Rhinolophus ferrumequinum: one gene and its partners. The protein of the gene in region 2 interacts with the protein of the main gene of each other region in a biochemical or structural test. Links are inferred from orthologs where the notes say so. Each region holds a gene or a part of one and is shown on either strand. Other genes may lie near its edges.

Region 1 (3,747 bases), on a different chromosome or scaffold from region 2:
TTCTCTTGCCTCTGTGACAAAGTATAAGCTCGTGGAACGTTCCTTTCAAGAGCTCAAACTGGAGGCCCTGGGTGGATTTGAAGCCCAGGTCTGAGGCTCTCTTCCCACCACCACCCCTCACCCACATCCCCACCCCCACCTCCCCAGGGTCTGGCAGCAGCTACAGGGTCAACACAAAGGCTTATAAATACCGGCAGCTACCTCTGCCCTCTGTCTGCCCTGGAAGGGAGAGAGGAGAGAGAGCAGATGAATGGGTTCCTGGCATAGGAACAGGAAAAAGAAACAGGAAAGTGTAAGTAATCAGAGGCCTCGTGGGCTGCTGCCTACCTGCCAAATTATTTTTTGGTGAAAAGATGCCCACGTGGTTAGCTGAAAATAATCCTCCTGATGCCACCAGGTCAAGCAAAATCAATCCAGATGATTGGGAATAGGACAAAGAAGGCACAAACTTGCATTCAATTAACCTGGTTTAACACACGAGGTTTATTTGTCCCGTGTAGCCTCCTTACTGTGAAGCCTTTGTGGCCTTTCAGGTGGAGGTTTCATTGATCGTTAATTTTCCTGGTTAAGCAAACCACGCAGGGTTGTTAGCACAGCCTGCCTTCTAAAAAGATGTATCTTTTGTTAAATGGGCTGCATACAAGAGCTAACTGGGTGCAGTAGAAAGTGGAGGAAGTTAGGATTCAAAACATATGGGGTCTAGGCCTGCTCCTTTCTTGTGAGATTGAGGTTTAGTCTATCTCCTTAAGCCCCAGCTTCCTTGTTTACACAGAGCAGGAGCTGGATTGCATTGCCAGGAGACACGTGAACACAATATTAACGTTGACTCACGGAGCGAGACTGGCTTCCCATTACTTCTGCTTTCGCTAGCAAGTCTCAGTGTGGCGATAGCCTGTCTTCAACACCTGTCTAATAATGGCTAATTTCTCTTTTCAGCGTCAGCAGTATCCAGCATGAATGAATGATATTTTGTTTCCATTTGTATTTTTGTTTTGTTTCCATTGTATTTTTACAATTTCCTTATAGAAATAAGTGAAACTGATTTTCTATTTGTGGCTCAGGAGTGATATCAAATCTCCCTTTAAAATTTGTTTGCTTACGTTTGAAGGAAGCAACTCGGTTTGAAGAGAAATATTAAGTAATAGTGCATAAGTAATATTAAGTAATAGTAATAATTTAAATTTAGAAAAGAGGCTGAAGCACAAAGCCCGTTCCAATACTACCAGTCTGTGGATCTGGTTTCCACATTTTCCAGATTTCCGTCCGCCTCTTCCCCCCTCCCTCCGGTCAGAGGGGCCAAGAAGGCGTGGCGCATCCACTAGCCCCGCCCCAGCCAGGCGTACATTCCATAATCCGAGCTCTTAGCGGCCCTTGCTGCCCAGGAGCCCCGCCCTCTCTCCGCCCCGCGCCCCACCCCTCGCGTGCACCAGCGTGCCTCCTCGGCCCCGCCCCATCGGGCTCCTCCTCGGCCGCCGTTGCGGGGCGCTCCGCGGCAGCAAGATGGCGGCGCAACAGCAGGACCCTGAGGGTGGTGCGCAGCTGGCAGGGCCCGCGGCTGAGGCGGACCCACTGGGCCGTTATACGTGTCCCGTGTGTTTAGAGGTGTACGAGAAGCCGGTTCGGGTGGTCTGCGGACACGTGTAAGCGGCGAACCGGGGCCTGGTCGGGGGGCGCCTGACTGGGACGGGGAAGGGATCCGAGGGGCGAGGCCCCGTCAGGGAGCGTCTCGGGCGGGAGCTAGAGGACCGGCCTAACGGGGCTTCTCCAGGGGGCCCTCCCGGTCTCCTGAAGGCTCGTGAAAGTTGGCAGGGCGCTCTTGTCTCCCGTCCTGCTCTCTCCCAAGTATCCCGCCCTTCTGATGAGCGCCCGCTGTGTTCAGGCCGCCTGTCAGCACCTTCCCACGAGCGATGGTGGAGTCGCACCGTGCTTGGGGTTAGGTACGGTCTACAGTCCGCTGTCCTCGAGAGCCCCAACTTCCCTTGAGTAGTGCGTACACCTCCTCTAAAGTCGATGCATACGGAGTCGTGTATCCAACTCTGCCAAGTAATTGTAACGTGCACGAAAGTTGGAGAAACGCTGAACTAGACTAAACGAACAAAAGGGAAGTCTTGACGTAGATCGGAGCGCTCTGCCCTTAACTGGGACAGGGACTGCGAGTTGGCAGACAGGGATTGCCAGCGTTCCTCCTTCCGTGGGTACGAAGCTTGTTTCATGGTACTTGAAATCACGCCTCCATGGCCCGCATATTACTAACAGACATTGTGAGGACAAAAGGAGTTGGGGGTCAATGTCAGTGTGGGTCCCGGGCTGGGATAGGTGCTTGGAGGCGTTTGAGCTCCGTCAGACACAAAAACACACCTACGTTGAAAGAACTGTAGAAAACTTGACCATCCGCTTCTTGCCTCGGAGAGTTGGCATTTCCTCCATGGCCTCCCTCAATGCTTGTCGAGGGCAACACGTTGGCATTGGGCTTAGGACCCCTTTACTGGTCAGTCGGCACGCTAGGCACCGGCGGGGCCTCCCAGGCATTCTTATTTCCACAGCAATCCTGCGGGGGAAGAGGGTTGGGGTTGGCAGCCATATTGCAGGTGAGAGTTCTGAGGCTCACCAGGGTGTCCGACTCTTCCCAGATGGACTGCAGGCATCTGTTTGCCTGCCCAGAGAACAGCTGGCACCTGGCAAGGGCTCCCCGGCCACACTGAGTGCCTTTTGCTTCTTCAAGTACATGAAGCTCTTTCTCCCTGGCTGTTCTCGTTTGCAGTTCCCTTAGCCTGGAACTCTTCGTGCCCATCTGCACCGCCCCCACCGCTACCCGACATCCTTTTCAGACCTCAAGTCCCAATTTGTTACCTCCTTTATCACCGTCCTCATGGAAGTCACCTCCAGTTTCTTGCACAGAGCAAAACTGATGGATCACGAGGGCAGTGACCATGTCTGCTTTGCCCCTCTCTGTATCCCTAGTGCCCTGCACAGTGACCATCCATCTTCTAATCTTATATTCCACAGACTGAAATATTTGTGTACTCACTCTGTGCCAGATGCTTGGGACATAGTAAGAAAGAAGGCCATGCTGCCCTCAATTCACGAGGCATTGACTTGATGATAAGTACAGAGGGTGCCAAAAAAAATGTACACACATTTTAAGAAAGGAAAAAGCTGTATTAAAATTGTAATACTCAATATATACAGATAACAAGGATAGACAAGTCATGTGTATACATTTTTTTTGGCATCCCGGTAAGTACCAACAAATGTTTAGACTGTTGTGAAAATTCATTGTGCAACGGGAGGTTACTGTAAGGATCAAACCTGTGTGTGTTGACGGAGGTGGTAATGGATGAATAAAGAGACTTGACCCAGTACAATTGACCAGCTGAACAGCAGCAAAATTTGAGGTTTCCCTGAGCCAGGTGAACCTTCCCTGGATCAGAGGTCAAGGGTCAATACTGGGATTCAAACTTTTCTATACTCATCATACTAGTTCCACATGTTTATCAGTTCAGTGTTGATTGAAGACAGATGGATGCACCTCACTGAGGGCAGCGCAAGTCTCCCTTAGCTCCAGCCACCTGCTTTTCGCTGCCCCTACTTGGTTTTTGCTAACTTTCGTGCTTGGAAATTTGAGCATCACTGCAGCTCTGGCTGGGTGGGATGTTAGGTTTTTATAAAACTTTCTTTCAAGCCCTGAATGACTATGTCCTCCAGTCTGGTGTACTCTCTGTGTACTGTAATACAGCAGGAGAAGGG
Region 2 (3,747 bases):
AAGTTGGTCCATACTTTGAGGAGGGCTCTAGGCAATAAACTGGGGGAACATACTAAGTTTTGAAAGTTCAAATTATCATTGTCTAAACTTGATTTTCCTCATTCAAATTTTTATAAGGGGATACTTTAGAGAAAATCTAGAGAATTTATAGTAACTCAAAAGAAACATTATTACTGAGAACAAGCACGTTGGAAGATTAAAATGCATGTTTTGAGTGCTATTTCCCCACTCTGTAAAAGATCCCTGTAACACGTTATCAATCTGTAGAAATGAAAGGCTACATCTCTTGACTGTAAGTTATCACATATACTCACTCCTCTTTAGGTTTTAAAATAAGAGCACAATTTTCTACAGGCAATAATCTCAAGTTGGTAACTTCCCCGAGACTTTATAAAAACCTAGTAACTCCTAAAACCCTTAAAAATGCATATATATAAAAAAAAGCATATATAGTTTTACTTGGACGACCATTCCTCAGTGTGTTCCTGCCCCTTGAACGGTTAAGAGATCTTTGCTTAAAGTTCAAGCTTCATTTAACAAATAACCTGCTTCATTTCAGTACAAGATTTACTCTGTCTAAAGATTGCCCTTTTTCATTTGTTAGAAATCAAAGAAGTCAAAAGAAGTTGGTAAGGATCTAACCTAATTTACAGTAACCATTGGGATTAATTTCACATTAAAGGTCTTGGATCAAGAATGAAATGAGGACCAACTGCTGAGCTGAGGAGTTTAACTTGTCCACCAATCAGCACTTTCACTAAGTGTAAGGCAAGGTGAAAATTGGTTCTCTTGCCCTTGCATCTCCACCCCATCCTTCAGGATGGATAATCCCAGGATCTACTCCTAAATAGCTAGAGGTTTAATACAGCCAACTGAAACACCAAACAAAAATCACCAGTGGTGCTTCCCCACTTCTATGAAAAAAACATGATAGTGAAAGGCACTAGGAAATTACAATATTAGAGGGGGGAACCCTAAATTTTAAGCAAAGTCTATATTCTAGAAGCAGTATTAGGGAAACATTCGTATAGGTAACTAACTGAATAACCCTTCATCTTAAAGGGCAAAGAAGTCCTTTCTAATGGAAAAATCTAACAAAATCCCTTCGAAACTAAAAGGGTCTCCCTGAATGTATCACCTAATTTAAGCTGTAAAGGGAAACTTTGTGTAACTTCTCCAGTGGGTTTCAATGTTCAGGTTTCTACCACTACCCCTGCCAATTTAACAGCTTTTCTGTAAGATCCATTCCTGCAAAACTGAAGTTTCTGATTACATTTGGCAACCTCAGGAATAAAACACTTCTCCCTCTACTGCCCTCCTCCCTCAAAGAATCAAGTTTTTTTCCTTTCTGAACTTCCTACTTGAACAGTTTCTGGACGAGTAGAGTGGACCAAAGTGTGCGGCCGCCAAGAGGTGAGTGCACTCAAGAAATACTTGTGGATCGGACAAAAAGGCTTCTTCTGCCTGCCTGATATGTGGGCCCCAAGCTCGGGCGGTTCAGAGGAGAGCCAGGGCAGGTGGGGGGGAGGGGAGAACCGGCAGAGAGGGGCAAGGAGCCCTTTCGACCTCGGTCGAAGGGGCCGCCCAACGCCCCAGCCCCCCCTCCCGGCATGCCGGGACAATGGCCCTCTAGCGCAGCAGTCCCCGGCCGGGGAGAGGCCCTGGGACTCCATACCACCGCAGAGCCTAGAAAGGAGGCCGGGAAGGAACTCTGAGCGGGCCAGAGCACCTCCGGCCTAAGCGCGGGCTGCGCGCCCGGGCCTCCACCGGCGCCATCACTGGGAGTGGGGTGTGAAGGCCGCCCGGCGGGGCCTTCGCGGGCAGCCGGGTCCGAAGAAGATGCGAGCCCGGTGGAGGCGACGGCGGGAAGTGCAGGCCTCGGCCTGCTCAGCTGGCCCGCCCGGCGGCCCGAACCCACAACCGACCTCCGGCCGCTTACCTTGTGGATTCTCTTCAGAGCCATCGTGGGAGGCGGGTGGCGGCAGCCCCCGGGGCGGGGACGGGGACAGGGGAGGGATGGGGAAGGGGCGAGGGGGCGCGAGGCCGCCTCGGTGATCACGGGTCGACCGGAGAAGATGGAGAGTCCGGGAGCACGGGTCCGCAGGGACCGACTGAGGGCCGAGGCCCACTCGGCTCCCGAGCCAGCTGCAGCGGTCACCGCATCACCCGGCGGCGGCCCCTTTATGCGCTGCCGCCCGAGCCGCCGCCGCCGCCGCTGCCGCCGTAGCTGCCTCTTCCTTCTTAGCTCAGCACCGCCTCCTCGGCCGGCGCGGATCCCTCCGCCGGGTAGCAAGAGCCCAGGCCTCAGGCTCGGCGGCGCCTCTGGGTCGGACAGCTGGAGGGACTGCCTGCTGCAGGTGGACCGAGAGACGCGCGGGCGGACGGGCGGGCGGCGCCGCCGGGGTGGGGCCGCCCGAGCGCGGGGTGGGCCCAGGCCGAGGGGCAGGTCGGAAGGCTCGGGGATTGGAGGGCCAGGGGGAGGAGGGCTGGGTCGCGTCTGCGGCGGAGGGATACGGGCCGCCCCTGTGAGTATCTACGCGCCGTCGCCGTCGCTGTCGCCGCCACGGCTCCCTAGAAGATGACGCCGCGGAGCCCAGAGAGGAGATCTCGCGAGAGCCGTGGCGCGGGTCATGGATTCTCCCGCGCCGCGACTCTTGAGTCCCTTGCTTTTGACACGCGCGTGTCATCAGAGATCAATAAACGTTTACAGGCGAATGTTTTCCCGGTCGCTCGACTGTCCCCATAGCATAGACAAACCCGGGAGGAGGCACTTAGTCCCACTGCAGTGTTCTTAAGGAGGAAGGGACTTGTCCAAGGTCACACAGTTCCACAGTGGCAAAGCTAGAACTTTCCCAAGCCGCGTGTAACAGCCTGGACCCCTGCAAGGAATGTAGTTCCGGGCAGCCCTGAGATAGCTTTTCCGATCGAGGCGTCAGCTGGGTGACAACTTCAACGTCTCAGCATTGGCATGACAGTCGTAGAAGTACCCAGACCTCACGCTCTTTGGTGAATTGTTACAAACACGCACTGTACCAATTACCTCAGAAAAAAACTTGTACAGTTTGTGTGTTCCGGTAGTTAAAACCAACCTTGTGGTTCAGATAACCATCAGGAACAAGTTTAGAAAACCTATTCTGGAGTTGTTTTTTAGGGGGTGGAGGCAAAAAGCTAACTCACTGAGCAACTACTACTCTGTGTCGAACTCTGTACCAGGATCAATGAGATATAAGGCCAGGCCTGGGCTGGGAGGTGCTTGTTATCTGGCTGAAGACACTTCCAGGGGAGATTAGTAAGGAATATTTTCCTTGGGAGATGATGTCCACGTTCTCAAGTGCACCCCGAGGTTTTCTGATTCTAAAACTGTTCTTTCCTCTATCCAGAAGGGACCTTTAAGATCATTGATTCTGACTCCTGAATTTAGACAGGAGAAACTGGAGCCCCTAAGAGAAGGATCTTGCCAAAAGTCATGCAGTAGAGAGCCCTGTCAATACTTATATTGCCTCACCTACTAAGTAGAGAAGGTTAGGCCAATAGGGCAGGGCCACTGTAGACTCAGTGAATCAAAGGAGGGAAAAGCTGTATCCAGTCATCCAGGTTGGGTGTGTTTGAGGTTAGAGGGGAAAAGGAATATTCCACAGCCCCAAATTGTTTCTTCTTAATACGCGTGAGGAGAGAGACAAAAATGCCTATTGGTCACATTTTTAAAATTTTTTCTTCAAAAGCTTTTTTGTATTAGAAAAGCAATGT
Region 3 (3,747 bases), on a different chromosome or scaffold from region 2:
TCTTCTGGGACTGAGCCCTTTACCTGTGGAATCTGATGCTATCACCTGGGTAGATAGCATGAGAATTGAATGGAATTTTTGGACACCCTGCTGGTATCTGAGAATTGTTTGTTGGTATTGGGGGAATCCTCTGTCTCTCATATTGGAATTGGGTCTAAGGAACCCTTTTCAGGGATATGGTTCTTACGTTGTTGAGATGATGAAATGAAATGATGCATACAAAGTACTTAGCACAGTGTCTGGCACATAGTAAGTGCTCAGCGAACACTAACCATTAATATTTGGGGCAACCACCCTTTCCTTGAAATTCCCCAGCCCCGTGTGTTCTAGGCCCCCTTCTCTTTCTCTGACTGGTCCCCCTCTTCTTTTCCCTCTTATTGCCTCCCCCAAGGTTGGCTTCTTACCCTCACTACTCACTAGGTCTAGTCTCAGGGCTCTGACCATCAACTTCTTTCCACACTGAGGCCATCAAACCTGCTCTCCTGCCATCCCTCTTCCATGAAGTCCTGGACACTCCTATATGTTCCATACCCTCGTAGGTACATCCTGAGGCCTGATGTTACTGCTCCTACTCTCACCCCCCGCACCTTAGCCTGGTGGCCCTCTGTCCCTTTACATGAGATTCTACCTTAAAAGCAGTCATTGGAACTGCTGTAATGACTTCTACCTGTCAGCCCGGAAGATGTCCAGAGGGACATGGAGAAAAATTTAAATTGGTGCAGAGAGCAGAAGGGAGCATCTGATTAACTTCTAAGTGACTTGGTAGAACTTAGTTATTTCTGTCTGTCTTTCTCCCGAGGCTGTGAGCATCTCAGGGCAGAGAAAAGGATTACTCATCTATCTGTCACCTTGGTTCCCAATGTATAGTTAGTACTCAGAAAAATATCTCATGAATGAATAAGATTCCTGGCTTTGCCACTTACTTTTTTTGACTTTGACTAAGGTCCTTATTTGACCCCAATTCAAAATCTATAAAGTGAGGGGATTGGACTATGTTTTAAGGGAGCCCTTTCAGCATTACAGTGGCATTAATGGCCAAGGGATGGGGGTCAGTCTAGCCAGGGTGGGGATCTCAAAGTCTCCAGAAACATGCTGTGCTCAGGTCTGAGGCAGAGGGATGGGCTCAGAGAGAGGGGCTGCCCGGGATTCCAGAGCAGGGATGGACCTAGTGGTCACTGAGGGGGCACTGGCTATTAACCCCACAAATCCCAGTGGCCCATTCTCTGGGTCCCATCCCTAGCCTGGTGTGGGAGGAGACTGATTTCTGGAGGAAACTCTGGGTACCCAGTCCTCCCCCAAGTGTGCCCACGAACAGGCTGTTCTTGTTTACGACCCCCGTCCCAGGGGAACAGCGATTGCTCATACGTACATGTGATTTGAGAGGCCAGTCTTGCAGGCCTGGAGGAAACTCAAGCCCCGCCAGCCGCACTGGCACTGGAATGCTCAGCTGGTCCCCTCCTGGGGCTCATGTGACCAGGGTCCAGCTATAAATATCGGAGGGGCCTCAGACCAAGACAGAATTCAGGCGCCGACAGAAGAAGGCCAAGAGGCTCCAGGCAAGTGTTTTGTGACAAAGGCAAGACCGCAGGTCTACTCAGACAGAAGCAGGTAAAGGAGGCAGCCAGGTGGGCCCCACACCTCCTGACAGTATGGATTATAAATCAAGCCTGATCCAGGATGGGAACCCCCTGGAAAACCTGGAGAAGCAGTTAATCTGTCCCATCTGCCTGGAGATGTTTACCAAGCCGGTGGTCATCTTGCCGTGTCAGCATAACCTCTGCCGGAAGTGTGCCAGTGACATCTTCCAGGTCAGTTCTGGGCATGGCCTCGTCCTGGGGGCCCAGGTGGCTCCTCAGCTTTCCTGTGATGAAAGCTCATCTCTCTTAGCCCAGGATTCTTCTAAGCCAGGCCGGTTCTTTCCCCTGCAAAGTCAACCCCTGCAAAGGCCACTGGACAGGGCTGAGGGCGGCTGGGGAGGCAGCTCTGGCTGCCCTTCCTTTTCCATGACGCATATTTCCCCTCCCCACCCTGCCTGCAGCTCTGCCACCGGCCATCTCTGCCCTGAGCACCGCAGTTGACTCTTCAATCAGGAATCAAATGCCTCAAGTGATAAGTGAGGGAGGCAGGCAGAGAGGAGAGAGAAACCAGACCCCTGGGGCTGGAGCCAGCTCTCTGGTGGCAGGTGGCCCAGAGCTGCAGGAGGAGGGTGGCCGGGAGGCCCTGGGCAGTGGAGCATCTTCCCTTTCAGGCTTTTGCCTCTAATATAGGGGAGGAGGGGCTTCATCTCCCTAAGAAAGGACTGAGAGTGGATGTCCTGGCTGGAAGGCAGTACTCAAGATTCCCCAGGAGCACTTTACAAAGTGTTCTGTCACTATTTTATCTTTAAAGTAGCAGCCCTAGGAGCTGGCTCTAATTACAATGCCCATTTGATGAATAGGTAAACTGAGGTTTGGAAAGAAGGTTGCTTGCCCCGAGTTACTCGGAGAATAACTGTGACTCAAACCCAGGCCTGCTGACTCCCAAACCTGTTGATTGCTTCATTGCTTCTCAGGTGCTCCCTGTGTAAGCGATCTGCCTCTCCTCTCAGGATAGGGGCTCCAGGTCATGTGGTTTGAAAAAAATGGTTGGAATAAGCAGGGGGCAGGATAATCGGAGATTAGAAAGGGCTGAGGAGGGAGCCCAGGCCTCATCTCTGCCTTTGCCACCCACAGGCTGCAAATCCCTACTGGACCAACCGGGGTAGCTCGGTGTCCATGTCTGGAGGCCGTTTCCGCTGCCCCTCCTGCCGCCATGAGGTGATCATGGATCGTCATGGAGTGTACGGGCTGCAGAGGAATCTGCTGGTGGAGAACATAATTGACATCTACAAGCAGGAGTGCTCAAGGTCAGTTTCTCCGGCTGCTGCGAGCCCGTCCTTCCTCCCCAGCCATTCTGTGCCCAGCTTCCCAGGCTTCTTCCTCCTTCCTCTGTTTGGGATCCTGTCCCCTTAGTTGGACGAGTGACCCTAGCCAGTCTCCCTCTTTCTCAGGCAGGAACAGAGAGGCTCACTCTATCCCCCCACCCTGATTCTCCATGTGACTCAGTGAATGAGAAGGGGCCCAGGCTGCCCTCCTGAAAAATACTGAGATAGGAACCAGGGAACAAAGATGAGATATGAGAGGGAGAGAGAGACGCTGGGGCCAGCTAAGTGGCCCTGATAAACAGAGAACGCGCCGTGAGAACATAGCCAGTTTCTCTATCGTGAATCCACAGCTATGGTCCCATGTGCCAGGAGGCACAGTGCCAGGCACAGGGAACCTGCTGCTTCACAACAATGCTATGGATCAGGCATGACTTTCATCATCCCCATTTCACAGATGAGGAAGCTGAGACTCAGAGAGGTGAAGTCAATCACCCAAGTTTTCCCAGCTGGGAAGGGGAAGAGCTGGGAGTAGGCCCTGTTGATCGAGCTCCAGGTCTCCATGATTGTAGAGTAGCAGCTCCGTCTCAGGCAGTTTGTGAGTGGTAGAGCTTGTGTAGTGTTGGGCCTCCAATTGGAGAGAGACACAGCTACTAGGGAGATCTTTACAAATCAGGACATCCTGACAAGACTTCCAGGCTGCTGACCTCACAGATCTTATGGTCCCAAACCATCACCGAGTGCCTGCCTGCAGGCAGTGTCCTGCCCAAGGAAAGGTGACAGACCAGTCCTAGTGAGAAAAAGCCCTGGCCTGGGGAACTGTGTTTGCTAGTCTGACTCTATTACTA

Evidence for each region.
Region 1: the proteins of UBE2D2 (region 2) and RNF114 form a complex in vitro, tested with the Homo sapiens proteins (3 studies listed by BioGRID, with this or other methods). The link is inferred for Rhinolophus ferrumequinum from reciprocal best matches to the Homo sapiens genes UBE2D2 and RNF114.
Region 3: the proteins of UBE2D2 (region 2) and TRIM63 form a complex in vitro, tested with the Homo sapiens proteins (2 studies listed by BioGRID). The link is inferred for Rhinolophus ferrumequinum from reciprocal best matches to the Homo sapiens genes UBE2D2 and TRIM63.

Annotation. Positions count from the first base shown.
Region 1 is NC_046306.1:9,562,383-9,566,129, reverse strand, and holds the start of RNF114 (E3 ubiquitin-protein ligase RNF114), read left to right. Parts: upstream 1-1,452; 5' UTR 1,453-1,500; coding exon 1,501-1,640; intron 1,641-3,747. UniProt on the Homo sapiens protein: E3 ubiquitin-protein ligase that promotes the ubiquitination of various substrates. In turn, participates in the regulation of many biological processes including cell cycle, apoptosis, osteoclastogenesis as well as innate or adaptive immunity.
Region 2 is NC_046307.1:14,298,112-14,301,858, reverse strand, and holds the start of UBE2D2 (ubiquitin-conjugating enzyme E2 D2), read right to left. Parts: upstream 2,589-3,747; 5' UTR 1,964-2,588; coding exon 1,940-1,963; intron 1-1,939.
Region 3 is NC_046292.1:17,859,386-17,863,132, reverse strand, and holds the start of TRIM63 (E3 ubiquitin-protein ligase TRIM63), read left to right. Parts: upstream 1-1,507; 5' UTR 1,508-1,649; coding exon 1,650-1,808; intron 1,809-2,711; coding exon 2,712-2,884; intron 2,885-3,747. UniProt on the Homo sapiens protein: E3 ubiquitin ligase. Mediates the ubiquitination and subsequent proteasomal degradation of CKM, GMEB1 and HIBADH.